Styela clava: one gene and its partner. The protein of the gene in region 2 purifies or fractionates together with the protein of the main gene of each other region. This does not show direct contact. Links are inferred from orthologs where the notes say so. Each region holds a gene or a part of one and is shown on either strand. Other genes may lie near its edges.

The links. The genes of interacting proteins can lie anywhere in the genome.
Region 1: the proteins of sorting nexin-9-like (region 2) and synaptojanin-1-like purify together in Homo sapiens (co-immunoprecipitation; 3 studies listed by BioGRID and IntAct, counting the BioPlex papers as one, with this or other methods). This does not show direct contact. The link is inferred for Styela clava from reciprocal best matches to the Homo sapiens genes SNX9 and SYNJ1.

What each region holds. Positions count from the first base shown.
Region 1 is NC_135258.1:23,400,578-23,409,641, forward strand, and holds the start of synaptojanin-1-like, read right to left. Parts: upstream 3,649-9,064; 5' UTR 3,596-3,648; coding exon 1-3,595. UniProt on the Homo sapiens protein: Phosphatase that acts on various phosphoinositides, including phosphatidylinositol 4-phosphate, phosphatidylinositol (4,5)-bisphosphate and phosphatidylinositol (3,4,5)-trisphosphate. Has a role in clathrin-mediated endocytosis.
Region 2 is NC_135252.1:5,730,923-5,739,961, forward strand, and holds the start of sorting nexin-9-like, read right to left. Parts: upstream 3,687-9,039; 5' UTR 3,608-3,686; coding exon 2,308-3,607; intron 1,886-2,307; coding exon 1,796-1,885; intron 1,402-1,795; coding exon 1,218-1,401; intron 1-1,217. Other genes in the region: N-acylethanolamine-hydrolyzing acid amidase-like, read right to left, coding at 6,970-7,086, 7,191-7,320, 7,514-7,686, 7,844-8,008. UniProt on the Homo sapiens protein: Involved in endocytosis and intracellular vesicle trafficking, both during interphase and at the end of mitosis. Required for efficient progress through mitosis and cytokinesis. Required for normal formation of the cleavage furrow at the end of mitosis.

The DNA.
Region 1 (9,064 bases), on a different chromosome or scaffold from region 2:
GTTCGCTTTCAAAAGCCCACCCAGGGTCATTTACATCTTCCATGACCTCCTTGTTTGATTCATTAATTGTATCAGTGGCTTCCGAAACAGGAATATCATATAATTGCGTACTTGTTTGATGATATGTATTATATTCATACCTTGGTGATTCAGAACTGTCTTCTTCATGTTCCGCATCATTATGGTACACATCATAATTATATTGACACGGTTCCCCCTCGTTTGCATATTTTTCAGCATATGATTCATTAGCAGAAAATGAATGTGAATGTTGTCGAAGTTCATGTTCAACATCTTCCTCCCAACCTCTACTTTTTAATGTGACATAAATCAATGTTCCATCAACAGAAGTTTCATTCAAGTCTGTGGCTCTAACTGCTGCTGTACCATCACTGAAAATAACCATCAGTTTCCCCTTGAAGTGTCGGGTGATGATAACTTCACCAATTTCGTTCAGCCTTGACATGATTGCTTCAAATAGTTCACCAGACAGTGGAATGTCACCAGTATTTTCTTCTTGGGTTAATGATATCAAGATAGTTGCATCTGGAGGACCTTGGGCTTCTACAAATTTATGAAATGTTGTATTGAGATGTTCTTCATCAGACTGTATAATATCGACATCAAGTATCGCTATAACGGGACGATGATCAGAAGTTTTAATATCAGCTTTATTATAATACAGCAATTTTCCAGGATTCCATTCTGGATCTTGACTTACTGAAACTAACGATGAGCCAGAATCTTGAGTGTCCGCAAACCATTTTCTTCGAAACCACAACACACGATCAGTCCAAGCTGGTGTCCTGGATTTTTCACTAGTATCATAGTCATCGGAAAACAAATCATACTTATAGGTTGGTGCAAAGTTAGTATCTCCTTCTAAAAAACACTGGAACACTCTTCCCTCTTTCTTTTCTGTACAGAGTTGGTCATTGCTTTGCAAAGATTTCCAATCCTTTTCAACAACTAATTGTTTAACCTCATCAATTGGCATATCTATCCGATAGTTCAGATCTCCACACCAGAAAATATAATCATGACAATAGATAGATTTATTTCCAGAGAAAACCATCTTCTTGGATATTTCAGCAAAATCATTATTTCGATCCTGTACTTGTCCTTGTCCAGCAGCTAGATGAGAGCATACAAAACACAAAGATGAGTTATGAAACTGCATTCGTATACCAATTCCTCCTTTGTTTCCAGTTGCACCCCCCAATCCAGTTTTTACAGTTCCAATTTCAACATCTCTAATATGAGGTGTATGATGCGGACGAACAAACACATAAAAGCACACACCAACAAGCTGTTCTGAAGCAAGAAGGACATACTTGTACTTGTTAGATATTGTCTTCTGCAATTCTATTCCCCAGGTATGTTGATTAGTATGGCTTGTATTTACAATGTTCCCAGCACTGAGTTCAACCATCTCTTGAAATCCAATAACATAAAAGTCCATTGCTTTATTCCAGTCAACCTCAGCATCATTATTGTCTGCAAGATTGCTAAAGGAGTCACTTGACAAACTATCTTTGAATATTTCAACATAGCTAGCTGGGAAAGTTCCTTCCAATTCATCAGGATTGTATTCATCTCTTGAAACCCTTCCCTTCCACCATTCACCTGTCATTTCAGTCACCTCAATTGTGTCGCCAGCAACAAAATCGAGATCGCCTTCCTGATGAGCTGGAAAGTCGTACAAAGCAGTATATCTTGGTAGCAATTTGGTGACATAAGCTGCAGGAAATATTCCATTACATCCATTGCAGGAACCTGACATCCATTCCCCATCCTCCAAGGCATGATGCACATCAATGATATCACCTGATGCGAATGACAAATCACCTTCTTCGGCAGAGGAAAAATCATACAAGGCCTTGTAAAAATTATTGGTTGGTGACTGTTCGCATTTGATGAGCCAGTCATCTAATGTTTGATCTTTATATGCCAGTGATCGGAAATGCTTTCCACCATTTACGTTCCAGGTTCCGATGGCAACTCTAATTGGCAAGATAGATGTGTAATCTTTGAATTTATCACACATGCCTCTCAAAACCGCTGTGGGAGCACGCAAGCAATCACCAGACATTAAATTGTTTGCCCTTGCCATCAGTTCAATATCTGCTGAGTTGGTACCAAGTATGAGTAAATCAATTGCACCTTGTTTACTCTGGTCAAGAAAATTGTTTTGTATTGCACGTGTCACCGATCTTGCACCATCTTTAAATTTTGTTTTACCTTCTAAGGCTCCAGTACCAGCATACATTCGACTGATTAGATCACCAGTAATGGGCCAAGCCGTTTTGAAAGCCTCTCTGAATCTATCTTCAAGTTGCTTATTATTTCCAAGTCCCAAACTTTCCAGTTGCTTTGGTAACATCTGCATTCCAAAATACGTTTTTGTACTATTTGTACGATCCAAGCAATCAAGGCAATTAATCCTAATGACACCAGTTTGAGTGATGCGTAACTTTTCATCATCTTTATAGGTATAACATCCATAACTCTCCAGTTTGTCCCATATCTTTGTTTTCAATTTGGATAAATTTTCAGATTTTCCTCTACATTCACAATGATAATCGAAACAAAACATTGTTACTTCTTCACTGAAAGCAGACTTTTCATGGTGTAGTTGGAAAAGCCTACTCAACATGCTCTCGTCCCCTTTACTACCAAGTAAATTAACTATGAGACACTGCCCATAATTATCCACAATGCTTGAAAAATGTCTATCATATGTGGGCGCAGATGCTTCAAATCCTCTAGAAATCTTGATTTTATGGGATCCTACATTCAGGCCTGGTTGCCCCCAAAACAATGGAATAGAGCCACGAATTTGCATGAATGAAGAAACATTTTCACCAAGTATGATTGCTTGTTCACTTTCTACAAAGTTTGCAACATGACCCTCATCGTCCGCACCTCGAACATTGAATCTTGTGCCAGCACGTTCGCAACTCAAACGTGATATAACCACAGCTCTGGCTTGTTGAGCACCTACATAAACAGTTCGTATGTCAATTCCTCCACACATAACTCTGAAGAGCCACAAGGCGCAATCAGCACCAAAATGTTTGAAATGCAGGTGCAAAAGGTGATTCCAAAAGAAACGTTGGTCATCATTCTTCTTGTCTTGATCCTGGAATGAAACAGTCAAATCCAAAATTTCACTCCCATTCATTGCAGACCAAGTAAAATAAAATTTTCCAGAGCTGAGTAACTTTTTAACATCTGTGCACCTGCTATCTGCATCTACAGTACCATTTTGCAAAGAAAAAAAACTTGCTCCAGTAATGCGGAATACTTCGCAGTTGAGTAACTTTCCAACTGGCATACAAGCAGTCACAAGCACCAGGTATAAGCTGCGGGCTTTACCAGCTTTGTCATCTCCAAACATCATAACTCCAAGACATCCATATGCATCAATTGCCTTTGTATAATCCGACTTAAGTTCTTCTTTCTCCTGCGGAGTAAGAGATACGACTGTTCCTGATTCTAGTAACAGTCCATCTTCAAATTGTCGAGACTCCAAAAGCACACTGTACGGTGGTCCTAGCTTATGCAGCACACGAAAAACTCGACTCAAAGACATAGTTAAAAATTAACTACATTACAATAAATAAAACTAAAGGATAAATTGTAAAAAAAAACTTTGTGATGAAATCAAGTAAATTTTCCTTGCACCAGAGTAGGGATGGGCAATATAGAATAATTTACTATTCTAGAATACTTAAATCGAATACCGAACCCTATTCTGTTTTTATTGTTATTCAAATGTGCGAATTCTTCCGCCACATTGATGAATTACAATTTAAAAAAAGTAATCTTGTGAATGTATTACTGCCTTTGTATTTAATTGAAAAAATCCTGAGCATTGGATTTTATTTGTTACCAAACAAGCCAATGAAATGTAAGAATTTAAAAAATTATTTTTTGCCTTGAATTGTTCAAAATTTAGGTAATACCTAAATACTTACCGGTATATGTTAATTAAAATATATAGCCTAGTGCATTATACACTTCAATACTAAATTGTGAAATACAAAATATAGGTATGAAAAAATATCAAATTATTATCAATGTGAGAGCGCGGAAAACACAGGCCAGACATAGGCCACTGCAATTTATGTGACCGCAACCGGAGCCTGGTAGGGCTCGCGTTAATCAATAATGTAAAATAAACTCAACGACTCAATCAATTATAATCGAGTATGTCGGCCTGTTTATTTTTTGTGAGCAAGACTCATAAAATAACATCTACAGACAAATTATTTTTAATTGCAAAATTTTAATTTTCAGTTATCGTTATATATCTACTCAGACTTGTCGATACGTTTTGCATAATGTTCATCAATAGTTCAGGCCGAGAAATGTCTTTACCACATGTGGAAACTTTTTTAAATTATCGTTGACCAACATACAGCCCGACACCTGACCAAATGTGTGTCTATTTTGGACGACAGTAACGATTTAATCGGCGACTTGAATTTCGAAGAATATGTATTTTTCTGACGGTCAGAGCAAAGATTCATTTTCATTAATAATATGATGAATCATTACAGCATTAAATATCACGAAGTACAGTAGGGCACAGTTTGCGTCTGGTACGATGGCTGATCAATACGTCAGATCGAGCCACGCTTGTCTCGATAATAATCGGAATTAATCGTGGCCGTTATTAGACCATAATTGCGTTTCTTTGCTAAAAACTGTCAAAAATATAATCCTTTGGTAAATCTAATTATTCTCTCCCCCCTAGGAACCCAATGGTGATGTTTTCAGATTGCACTTCCTTTTACTTTATTCTTCAGTAACGGATTGCCGATATGGAGGCCCAGACTGTCTCGCAGGGTCATAACCCCCCCTTTGAAAACAATTTTTGATGCGAAATTTTTTCTACAAAAAAGCAACAGCGCCATTTAACGGTTGCGCATCATGGTTTTGCGGCCATACGATATTATTCTGTGTGTTATCACAGACCAGACTTTTTTCGTCTTTACATCATGCTATCTTTGAATTGGCGCTGATAATGATAAATAAGAAGGTGTAATCGTTGATTGCAATTCAGTAAGGCACATTTTCCCTCCTCTCCACGAAACAGACATGAAAAGAATTTAACCGCCGTTATGGGCGCTCAAAAGGAGAGAAGGGTGATCAACTAATTTAAGGACTCTCTTTTTCCGGCGCAATCACTCAAATCAATCACAGCGCATTGAAAAGAAAAATTGAATTTATTAGAGGGTAAGAATTTACCGACGGCTATCTCTAACAGGTAGAAACGATTAATGTGGAAATGTTTTCTTCCTTCCCTTTTTCACGCCCATCATATTTTTCAATTCCTAACTTTGCATAAAGCGCGTCAACATCGCAATGACAAAAAATTTACTGCAGCCTTCGATTATGACAAATTTAGGAAATAAAACATTGTTACTGGATTTTTCAGTCTTCCGAAAAAATTCCCAAAAAAAAAAAAATTATTGTCACGACGATCGTTTTGGCAGCCGACATCTCAATGATGTTGTTCAAAATGACAATACTCATTATTCGGTGTTCATTAAAATCATCGAATAACCCGATTAGAAAGTACGATTTTGCACGCCACTCTATCAAGACCATGGCACATGTAAAAAATCATTAAATGGCTATAAAAATTACCTTCATTAACATTAAATTTCAAGTAATAGTTTCACATTTCTTTAAAATTAATTTTAGCGATTTTTAATGTTTTTATTTCTAACTACAGTTGCCCACTGACTACGGATTAATGGTCGATGTTTGAAATAGGACTTGCAAAATATGCACCATACACCGCCAGGCAAAGAGAGGCGGGCTACACACGTAACGAATTTCGCTGTGAACGACGCATACCTTTCAGTTTATAAATGCATTACATCATCGTGAACTGCCCTTTTGATGCACTGTTTTGATTTCACCGTAACCCCCCGTTGAAAAATCCTGGCTGCGCCCCTGGTTCCTAGTACTAAAGCTCCTCTCACACAAATTTTTTCACAGCATTCGAACCTGCACAGGGTACTGTAATTCAGAATACAGTAATTAGAAGTGCGATGGTAGATTGGCAGGCGGGGGTCAGACCCAAACGATCCACCGAGCTTTTTTTTTGCTAATAACGTAAATCAGTTTACTACTCATACATTCATAAACACAATTAAAACATAGAATACACACGTAGACTAAGCCATATCCTATTACCTTTTTTAAATGAGGACCCATCTTGGAACATACAGTCAGGGTTGCCAGATTTCAGCGATCAAAAAAAGCCAAATCAAGACATAAAATAGCCAGAAATAGCCAAAAATTTTACTTTTACTAAATACAGAAGTACAAAAGCCCCATGATTTGTCAGATTTGAAGCCCTTGGCACAATACCGATGCTGATGTAGAGCCATCAGTTCATTTAGTGATCCGCACAAATGTCTTTTCCCATTTAAAGTTGTATTTTCGGTTGCTATCATGGCGATTTCCACTTCGGCTGGACGAAGTGTTTAAAAGTGAAAAAGATTAATTGAATGGCAGCACCAGAATCTACATTCGGCACAATCAGACAATACCGGTACAGCAGTAGACTGCAGTCGAGATCTACAGATCTAGGCTATATGAAAAAGTTAAAAAAAATATCAAAAAACCAAATAAAAAGAAATATCAAGCGAACAGCTATATTTTACAATTCAATACTGCAATATGGCCTAGCCTATACAATACAGGGTGTCGCTTCAGTACAGCAGTATGTGATATATGTACCCACATGTTTCTACCTAAACTTGTGATATACCGGTACCGTTACCTTAAAAATTTCTCCCTAGCTATCCTATATAGCTGTATACCGTACTTAACTATAGAAAAATTTTTCACTTTTTGAATTTTGAAACCATTAATTTCATTAAAAAATTATGTCAGAATGTTCACAATCCTATTTCTGTACTTGAATCCAGGAATCTGTCTGAGCGTCTGCAGAAACTGCAATTATTTCTTAATCGTTAAGGTAATAAACAAGGAAATTGATGCTCGGGAAATCCAAATTTTAAGTACCGGTAGTCTAGCTAAGCAATACAGCAATAGGCTATTGTTACACACTAAATATTGTATTTAATATGATTTTAAGAATAGACCAGTAGACACTAGAATTTGAGAATAGACGTAAAAAAGTCAAACAGAAATTCTGACGCCAAACGTGTTTGAAGAGCCAAAAATCTGAAAATGGCAAATTTAGCATTAAAAAACGTGCCTCTTAGCTCCTACAGCTGTACAGGTAGTTAATTTTAGCGTAATTAATCACATCGCTGGTGAAACTCAATTCTGATTACTGCAACTAAACTAAAGCCCTACATATGACATATTGAAAATTAAGTTATACAACTATTTTTTGGAAACAGAACTAAAAACTGACAAATAGCCTAACACACAAAACTATAAAAACGAGGCAATGTCAGAATGTTCACAACCCTACCCTACTTCTGTACTTGAATCTGTCTGAGTCTGCAGAAACAGCAATTATTTCTTATTGGTTAATCGTTAAGGTAAAAAACAAGGAAATCGATGCTCGGGGAAATCCAAATTTTAAGTAGTCTAGCTAAGCAATACAGCAATAGGCTATTGTTACACACTACTGCACTAAATATTGTATTTAATATGATTTTAAAAATAGACACTAGAATCTGAGAATAGACTTAAAAAAGTCAAAAAAAAGCCAAACGGAAATTCTGACGCCAAACGTGTTTGAAAAGAGCCAAAGATGGCAAATTTGGAGTTAAAAAAGCCAATATGACAACCCTGCATACGGTACGGTACAGTATAAAAGAGCGATGCTCAAATACATGAACGAAGCGAAGCAGAATACAGTACCGTAACGTACGGCACTAACGGCAGCACGGCGTACCTTTATCTTACGCAGTGGTTCCAAACTGTGGGTCGCGACCCCAGGCGTGGTCGCTACTCGTTTATTAAAGATTTTCCGGGGTCGCTGAACGTACAATACGGCACACAAAAGTCGCTCGAATTTAATAGCGGAAAAATGAAATTCGCTATTTTTAAAATAGGAAATGACATTTACATGCCAATCTTTTGCCTTCTTCAAGTTGTCTTTTGCTAGCTTGGCCTTTATCCATAATTTAGGTTTATTTAATAAATAAGGAAAATTTATTTTCTATGCTTCAACCAAATAGGTAGATGGGCGCCAACAATATGCTAACGACGCCATTTTGTGGCACTTTAGGCAATGCTGAACAATGGAATCGGTAATACGGGAATTTTCGGAACAAAATTTCAGCTACGGTCAAGATACATACATACAAAACGTCATGGCACCAGAAAATCCGACATCATAATACTTGTTTTTAGTGAGATCTGGCATAGTAAAAATTGTGTCTAATAATGCTTACATTCTTTGTTGCTTATATGAATCAGTATATATATATATTGAAATTGAAATACTTTGTTTTTAAGGTTAAATGGATAGATTTTTTTAAGTTAATCAGATTCATTTAATCGGTCGTATTTCAATTTTTTAAACGATAAATATTTGAAATTATTAACTTGATTAAATATCTGACATTATTCCTTCTGATTGTCAAGGCCCTCGAGGTTAGGGCCTCTAGGCTGTAGCCTACCTTCCCAATGGTGTATACCCGAGCCTCGTTCGAATCCCATGACTGATGACTGAAAAAACTTGATTTCAAACAATTGTTTTAATACAATTTTTATTGAACAAATTCCCATTTCTAAAGATAACGCAATGCACGAACTAATTTTGGTTTAGCCAGAATCATAAAATTTTATCTCAATTTTTTTTAAGCACAAATAGGTAATGAATATCATCTGTTGATTATGTCCGCAACCACACATGATGTACTTTAAGCTTCAAGCAAGAATTTCGATATATATATATAGGTCAAATTATATTAATTTATTTGAAATTTAGTGCATATGAGGAAACACCATACAATTTTATCACGAACCACGCTTTATAGCAGGGGTCACCAACGCGTTGCCCGCGGGCACCAAGTCGCCCGCGAAGATCATATGAGTCGCCCGGCGGTCTGTTCCA
Region 2 (9,039 bases):
AGCATCTGAAACAAATATTTACAGAAACAGAGTAAATAAGCTAGCACTGTGTAAAACATTCATAACCTTTGTGCACGGCACAGTTGTGAAGTTGTATATAATGAAATAATCCACAGGGAATTTAACATTCGCAGACAGAATATGAAGTCAATCTAGATACTTCCCCTCGGTTTTTCACGATTTTAGTATAATACCACCTAACTTATCATATATACCATTTGAACAACTGCTATTTATATCAACTATATTTTACAGATATGCACCGAAATGGCAACTCCAAACTATACAGGGTGTCCATGAGGTCCCTTTACAATTTTGATATGAAGTCAGTTCTCAATATATCCTAACCAGGTTTGTTGTTTTTAAATCAGTAATTGTTCAAGTATTTTTACCTTATTTAATACATATGTAAGGATCAAAACTATATATGGTATCGATGAATTCCCTTTGCAATTTTAAGACTATTTGGACACCCCATATATTGTATGTATCAATCCCATTATTCTTTTCAAATTGTTAGAAATAAAATGTTTCTATTCCACAATTGATAGAATGATCATAATATTAACGGGTTATAGTTTCAAAATGATCAAATTTGTTGATTCAAAATTTGAAAAATATCAAAATCATACAGATACAGGCCTATCAAGCCAATCCTTTACTCACTATTACATTGCATTTGTCAAATGCTAATTCATAAGTTTAACATAAATACAATAGCAGTGGCTAAAAATGAATAAATATATTGGCAATTGGATGACTATATATATTAAATATATATTTGCAAACTCGAAGCGAAAACGACCGACTCATATTATCACAATAGAATCATAACCAGAATAAGGAAATTGATATTGCTGGTGAATGACAAGCATCATGTCAACTTCTATTCAGTACAAAGTAAAGTAGCATTGATCAGTATTGCAATATGGAGTCATTAAAATTGCATGAGGAAGCCTGATTTGGATGACCATTCACTCAAGTAGAAACTAGAAAGTCTGATGTTATTATACATAAAATAAGTTACTTGAGACAAGTAACAAAGCTCACATGGGTTTGGAGTGGTGCAGTTTTATATATATGTGTATGACCAGTCCATAGTACATTTTGCATAAACTGATGATTGAGTGCAACTCAATGATTTAAATCAAGATTATATTTTATTATGATTAAGCGATTATAATTGAATTTCAATCAATTGATTTTCATCGTCTTACCTGTAATACTGCATGTGATTAATTTCTGCTTGAACGGCATATGAAAGAGTTTCAGCTCGTAATTTAGCATTTTCAACATCATCCTCTGTGTATTTTCCTTCTAGCTGAAGACGCATCATTTCTCGTTGCTTGTCTATCGCACTCTTATTATTGCCAAGGATAGTTGGGAAACACGCCATGATTCCTAAATTGTGAAAACACAGAACAAATTGTTAGTTGTAGTTACTAAGTGGACCGAGCTAAGTCTTAGAAACATGATTGCCATTGCACCTTTAATTATCCTGAAAGGGCCCCGCAGGTACAAACCCCATAGGTGACAATTATATGTGTCATAAAAACTAAAAAATGCTCCATATTTCACCAACCATCAACTATTATATGATGCATATATCGCAGGTACCACAATCCACATTCTTTATATTACCAAATTCTTTGTATTAAATACAGTATTTTAGAAGAGTGAATCATTATTTATAACTCATTTTCGAGCAATGGGGTATTTGTGAAGTACAATTATTCGGTACTGCCCATTAGAACCTACATCAATGCATAGAAAATCTTCAGTAAATATTTTCTACCTTTATATTCATTGAGACCATCCAATAATGGATTCCAATCCTGTTTTGGTTGCTCTTGATACATCAACCCAATGTCCTCATAAGTTTTACCTGGAAGAATAGATTTAATTCAGCAATTTAATATACATAACTCTAATAAAACAATTCCAGTATCAGAAAAGGGCAGCCCGATCATGAACTATGACAAGCACAATAATATTGCCGAATATATGGATACAGACTTATTCATTTGAGTGTACAAACTTTGGTTAAAAAAATTGCAATCTGGGTGTTATGGTATACATATGACTTATATTGTCTCAGATTGCAAAGATCAGAATTAATCTGATTTCAGTTTTCCTGAATGGATTTGAAGGTTCATTTGAGCTACACTATTCCCATCAGTCACATTTAATTAGTTAGGCTACTTAATAAACTTTTATCAATATAATATAAATACACATATCCTCTTAATACATTTATTAATTACTATACTTTATACATAAATATGATAGTATAATTCATAATTATACCTGTATGCTTTATTGCCTCTGTTAATGGTGCTGCATTTTGTCGCTTATCCATAGCAAATGAATCTCCTAATGCTCCGAAACACTGTCCCATTTTCTGGTATTCTTGCATTAACGGACCTTGACATTTTCTTGAATAAGCAGCACCATGAGCAACAATTTGCTTTAATGATTCATCCATTGCCCTTGTAAACTGTGAATAGTATTGTAAAGTTTGCTCAGCAGTGGATAATTCCATTCTATTCTCAGTGACAGGTACAATAGTTGTACAAAACGCTCCGCCAACAGCTGGGTCACTTTCAGCTTTTCGTTTTCCTTCCTTCCATGCCTTTTCTGAATCTTTTGAAACAAGAAAGTGTTGAAATACTTCTGACTGGGATATGACTGGATGCAAAGACATTCTAGAAAGCCATCCTTGCAACTGGTGCATTCGTCCTTCTATGAATTCATCTTCATATCTCCCAGTAAGTTGCTTGTCTGGCAATGGAGGAACGGCAATAGTTACATTGAATTTCTTCACAAGCTGTTCCAACAACCAATCAAAGTGTTTGTAACGCCTCGATACAGTCTTCCCTGAATGGCTAGGTGTGATATTATACGTAATATAACTTTTGAACCCAGAAAACTTGCTCGCTTTTTGGGGATCAGATATAGTGCACGTGAAATGTTGCTGAGCAGTATTATCCCACATTGGACCATCCTCTGTTAAAACCATATGAATCTTAGGTTTAGATGATGTATCTGCTTTTATGTCACCCAATATAAAAGATTCAGCCGGAGTAACACTGAAAGCTGAAAAAATGTTTCCGGTGAGACTGCTGAATAATCCTGTATTTTTTGCATTCTTCTTGGGTGAGTCGCTCTCTGATGATTTTTTAGTTGATCCCTCTCGAGCAGGTGATGAGGCTATTGGTACAGGTTGAGAGGTAGCTGTTGGCGCTTGGGCTGAGTAGTTTTGAACACCCCATGACGCTTCCCACTCATCATCATCCCCACCATCATAAACTTCCTCGTGTTGTTGTTGATTATCTCCATTGTATGATGTAGTTTCTTGTGGTTCGGGTGGAGCATAGGATTCATCATATTCTGCATCACCAACAGCACCATTGTCTTGCACCAATTCACAATACGCAGAAGGAAAAAGACCTACTGTTCCATCAGAAGCTTGACCCTCCCACCATCCTTCACCTACATCTGGATTGGTCAATGTCACAATATCTCCTTCACGAAGAGCCAGCTCGTGATTATCAACAATTCCATCAAACTCATACAATACTGTAACTTTATCTCCCACCTGAGCCATACTGATTTTACAAAGATTGCTACTTATTTATAGATGTTATTTAAAAAATAAACCTATTTCTATGATGCAACACAATATATAAGTAAAAGTGCTCTCACTTCTCTTTACAGTTTTAACACATATGGACATAGCTAATACATGGCATGAAAAAATTTAAGTTTTCATAGCACAAATTTTAACCAAACTATCAACCTTGGATAGCCCAAAAAGTGTGACTAGGCATAAACTAGACTGAAGAGAAGATCTAACTTAAAACCATAGAGTAAAAAAACCACAACCACAACATTCAATTTTAAATATCATTACACTGTTACAATTGTACAACCAGTGAATGCCATAGTAATTTTCACGACTGAAATCAAGGCCGATATATTTAATAGAAAACAGGATAAGCCAGTTAAACTGACTCGACGGTGCGGCGCATTGTGATAAGCGTTAGGATTAAGCTTGCCACATCATTTCTGATTACCCTGCATGGCTTCACAGGTACGAATCCTGTAGGGTATAATTATGTGCGAGAGGATTGCTGGACTCATCATAGCCGTAGGGTGATTCACGTAACCAATGGTCACCATCAAGTCCATGCAACTGACAACAAAGAAATAACTGGCTAACTAATCCCATACTGACATGCCCGACATGGACTCGTATCCGGACGAGATGCTGTGGTGTGCCATACTTCCATATGACAGTATGATCAAGCTGTATTATCGGCTTTCCCATTCCCTGGAATTTCTCCTTCTATCTAAGTGTGATAATGACAATCCCAATAGTAATCAAGCATATTGTTCTAAGAATTTAAATATACAGATATAGTTCCAGTAACAATAGACTGTTAGAAAAGAGATTTGCATAATACAGGTAGACGGGTCTTGTGTGGTTTCTTACCACAATAACTTTTAGTGTAGCATATGCAGTATATGATGTGATTATGAGTTGTGACAACGTAGTGACATAATTTTCGGATGACTTAGTCAGGTGGGGGTTAGGAATAACACAAGCAAAAAAGGTTTTATGCCCAGCCCACTAGACTAATATTGTTACTTTTGTAAGTTTGTTTAACAATTATTATTCTCACACAAATTTTGCTTTTTCCAGGGGCATGCTTGTCAGCTTGGAAAATTCCAGTGATTAATAACCACATTCTGACATTCAATATTGCGATGATACAACTCAGCAATACCTGAATACTGCACTAACCTGATACAGTGATAAGTAAACATTATCAAACCATTGTCTGTTGGTCAGTCCTGGTCTATTGTGATCTTCTGCTATTTCTGTATTCTGATACCTGTAGGCCTATATCATTCTTCGACTTATACAGGATTGCGTGTGAGATCTCATACTTTCATCTCTGCATTGAGGCATTTGTTCGCCTGCTACTGCTACACCACCAATTGCCGCTAAATTAATTTCGGATATTACTTCAATTCATGATAGTTACGGCTGACTTGATTTGTGAAAATGAAATCTACTGATATTTCTTCTCTGACAGTTCATCCGACATCGGTCGCGTCATGAGAACATTTGCAGAACTGCGATTCCAGGCGCCCACCAACTTGCTCAAAACTGCAGAAACTAGTTCTGTTGCAAGCAGGGGTGGTTATCCGGATAATGCTGATCGGTTGAACTGGATTTTTTATTACCTTTTGAAACAACAACAAGGAATGGAAAAATACAAAGAATACCAACAACAACATAATAACAAAACGTACGTTCCGTATCCAATAAATAGAAGTAAGGTTAGCAAAATGCGATAACAGCTGTAAAAATATTCCGCTGAAAATTCAACTGGAAATTTTGTAGACTCTTCCTTACGAAACTTCGGCTGTGTTACGACATTTCAACGTAATTATTTGATCAGTTCATCATCAATCGATCAGTTCAATCAATTGTAATCGATGTTCTAACTATCCGGTTAACGGGTTAACTGACCAGATAAAATACAAATATACGAATACATATATCAGTTATCCTAATTTTATTTATAGTTAAAGTTTATTTTTGCGCAAACATAAAGTTAAAACAGGCAAATGGGGAGACACCTGGAACTCGTCCAACACCTGTAATCAATTCAAAACGTAATATGCCTAATGTGCAGTTCAGCGTTCGTCAAAATTAGATAGACTTGTCCAAAAATCAATAGATATGTAAATCCTATCGTATCCAGATCCCTAGTCACAAGTCAAATCTAGTCACTACCGTTTCTGATTATACTAGATTTTATAAACAATCGTGAAATGTATAAAAAGGAGTATATACTACTACGGTTAAGCCAATCTTATTTTGAAAATCATAAGTAGTTACGTTGGCATCAATAAGGCCTATTCCAAGTGGGGTTGGGATTCTGGGGGAGAATTGAAAATTTCAAGATCACAATTTTCTGGGATTAAACAAATTTGAAAAAAGTAGGCTACTAACATAAGCTGAAAATTTGATAAGTACACACATTTATTTCCTGTCAGAAGGATGTTTCTCCAACCCTTGACCTCATAAATATTTTTCGATTCTTATTTTGTAAGATTGCGCTCACAAACCAGTTTGAATTTTCATAAAAATAATTTTGTTTCAAACTATTTAGCCATCCGCTATTCGAAATGATAGCTGACGGCTAGTCTATTGAAAAAATTTTTGGATTTACGTTTAGTTAACTGCAATTAAACTGAAACTCCACGAAAGACCAAAATGACCATTGAGTTATTTTATTTATACCCAAGTTTTGGAATCACAATTAAAAAATGACAAATAAATAGCAAAAACCACGAAAACGATGTAAGCCTATATCGCCATGCCTGAAATTCTGTCTTTGTGAGTAGTCTCTGAGCGGATTTCTAATGTTACAGAAGTAAACAAGAAAGCCGGTGACATCGTATCCTTATATAAAAGTTGTTTGGACTCGTCATTATAATCGGAAAAACTTTGGATGAAAGAAAAGTGATTTTATTAAAATTAAAAAATAATATTTTTGAATTTATTTTCAAAAAATCATTAGCAGACACTATTACACATATATATCTTAAAACAAACGCTGCTATTTTACTGCTGGGTAAATATATTATTTTAATTTAAGTATCCGTATTTATTCAAATTACTTATTCGTGTTTACAAGCAAATTCAAATATAATAAAATTTTAGTATTGACCACAATTGATTTAAGTTCAATGTCTAAATCTTAGTATATATTGATCCGACGAGCTAAATATTACAACACAAATTGTAATTACGAGTTCAATCGTATATCATCGTATATGATAAAATGGATCAAAAAAATATGCGTAAAATGGAATATATATATATATGTGAAACAAAATATAGAAAAATAACCGAAAAAACATTAGTAATCCGGAGGTATCAAAAAGTTGTCAGTTTTCCGTAGGATGATCCCATCTTATCATGGTATGATATAAAGACACATTTGCGGCACTCATTACTGTCGTATATGTTGTTTCTGAGTTAAATACCGGAGGTGTCGACATAACCTGAAAAATACACATTTTGCCGAACAAGCGTATATATCAGACACGTTCTTACCATAAAATAAATCGATAACAAAATAATATTGATTTAATTGACTAAAACAGACCTTATAAAGATTATCAGGATTCATTTTATCTTGTCCAAATTCACTCATGGATTTTACTGCAGCATCTCTCCTGTGATCTGTTGAAGGTGGCGTCTTCCAAGGGTCGTAGTTTGTTTCAACAACAAACCATCTGTGATAATAGTGATAATTAGACTGGCAGCGACAAAGTTTACTAAATTCTAGATGATCAGAATAAAATTCGCTTTAAATAAAAAGCAAATACATTAATTAGGATATATATTATCGTTAAGTCCAGTGGCCCCAGAAGGTGAGTTTCCAAATAAAATTGCAAATAAAAAATGTATCAGCTTTCTTACACTCACTTATGAGAAGTATCTATCATCCTCGTAACATTGACTGCTCCCCATCGATCCCGAACTACTATGGCCCCTTCTTGTGGTTTCAGTCCACCCACTATGAAATAAATCGGTGCAATGGTCTTTGCGTTTTGTAGCATGTCTATTGCAGATTCATAGTTATCAGCCTTTGTAACGACCTATGAAATCAGTATATATTTCGTTGTAATTTAATCACCAAAGGAGAAAATTCCCTACTAAATATGGAAAAAAGTGATTGCTATTACAGGACCTTTTATATATTTGTGAATCAATGTCAATAAATTGCATCAAATCGTTTTTTGCAATAGAACATACTTCTCTTGCCATCAGCATTGTGGGCCATGATTTTTCCAAGGCGGCCAAAATATTCTCCCATAGAAACCCAGTGTTACGCTGATCTCCAGACAGGGAAAATTTGTTTGGCTTTGCTGCCGTCAACAACCCGACATAGCCAACGTATGTTGTTCCAATAAATACAGTCTGCGAAACAACTTACAGTAAATGTTTGCTATGCCTATGAATTAAAAGTACTGTTAAAAAATTTGCAAAGTTACAGCAGTTTTAAGCATAGCCAATAGTTTAATGAACAACTCTTAATTTATTTGTGTATTTTGTGTAGTTAGTGGGAAGCACTTAATTCACAAACCGCCGCTGTAAGATATTGTAAAAAAATATCACGGAGGAAAATATATGATGGGAAGCAGGTTTGAGTATATACATATGTTTTGAGTAGTGTTTGCAACTGTCTTATGTTGTTCACAGGTGTTTACATAATAAGGTCGCAATAAAGGTCATGCTACAGTAAGTATTACAATATTTCAATAATTAAAGTGATGACACAAGTGAAACAATCTAATTGTATGCATTGGTGATAAAGGAAGTTTCATTAAACCAAGCTCAAATCTTGGTGCGTAACATGCAGTATAAATATCCATATTTCAACATAAATCATTAAATATGAAAATGTTTGGTTTTAGCATAATATTTCTTTAGTGCAGGGTAAAGATTTATGCCATCATCATATTTACATTTTAAATATTTTTTTTATTTACACTTTCAGAAATATAAGACAAAGATGGCAAATGAATAAAACTATAAATTTGAGTTGGGTTGCGCGAGACTAACTTCCTATCTTTTCTCTATGCCTTTATGCTAGTGGATCCGTATGCGTATACTGCAAGGATAACGTAGCTGGAATAAATATGACTATTCTATTCAATTAAAGAGTCCAGCTGCACACTAACACAAATGTATTTCTGTAACGTTTCGTCCGACCAGAGTCAGACTTCCTCAGACAAGCAGTTTACAACAATGGCTCTGTTGGCTGTTGGCTTGTCTGAGGAAGTCTGACTCTGGTCGGACGAAACGTTACAGAAATACATTTGTGTTAGTATGCAGCTGGACTCTTTAATTGAATAGAAGAAAAATACTATGATTGTTTTTCCAGAATATGAACAATAGAAAATAATCGATGGTTGTAATTTCTATTTTAACCTGAATTTTTTTAGATT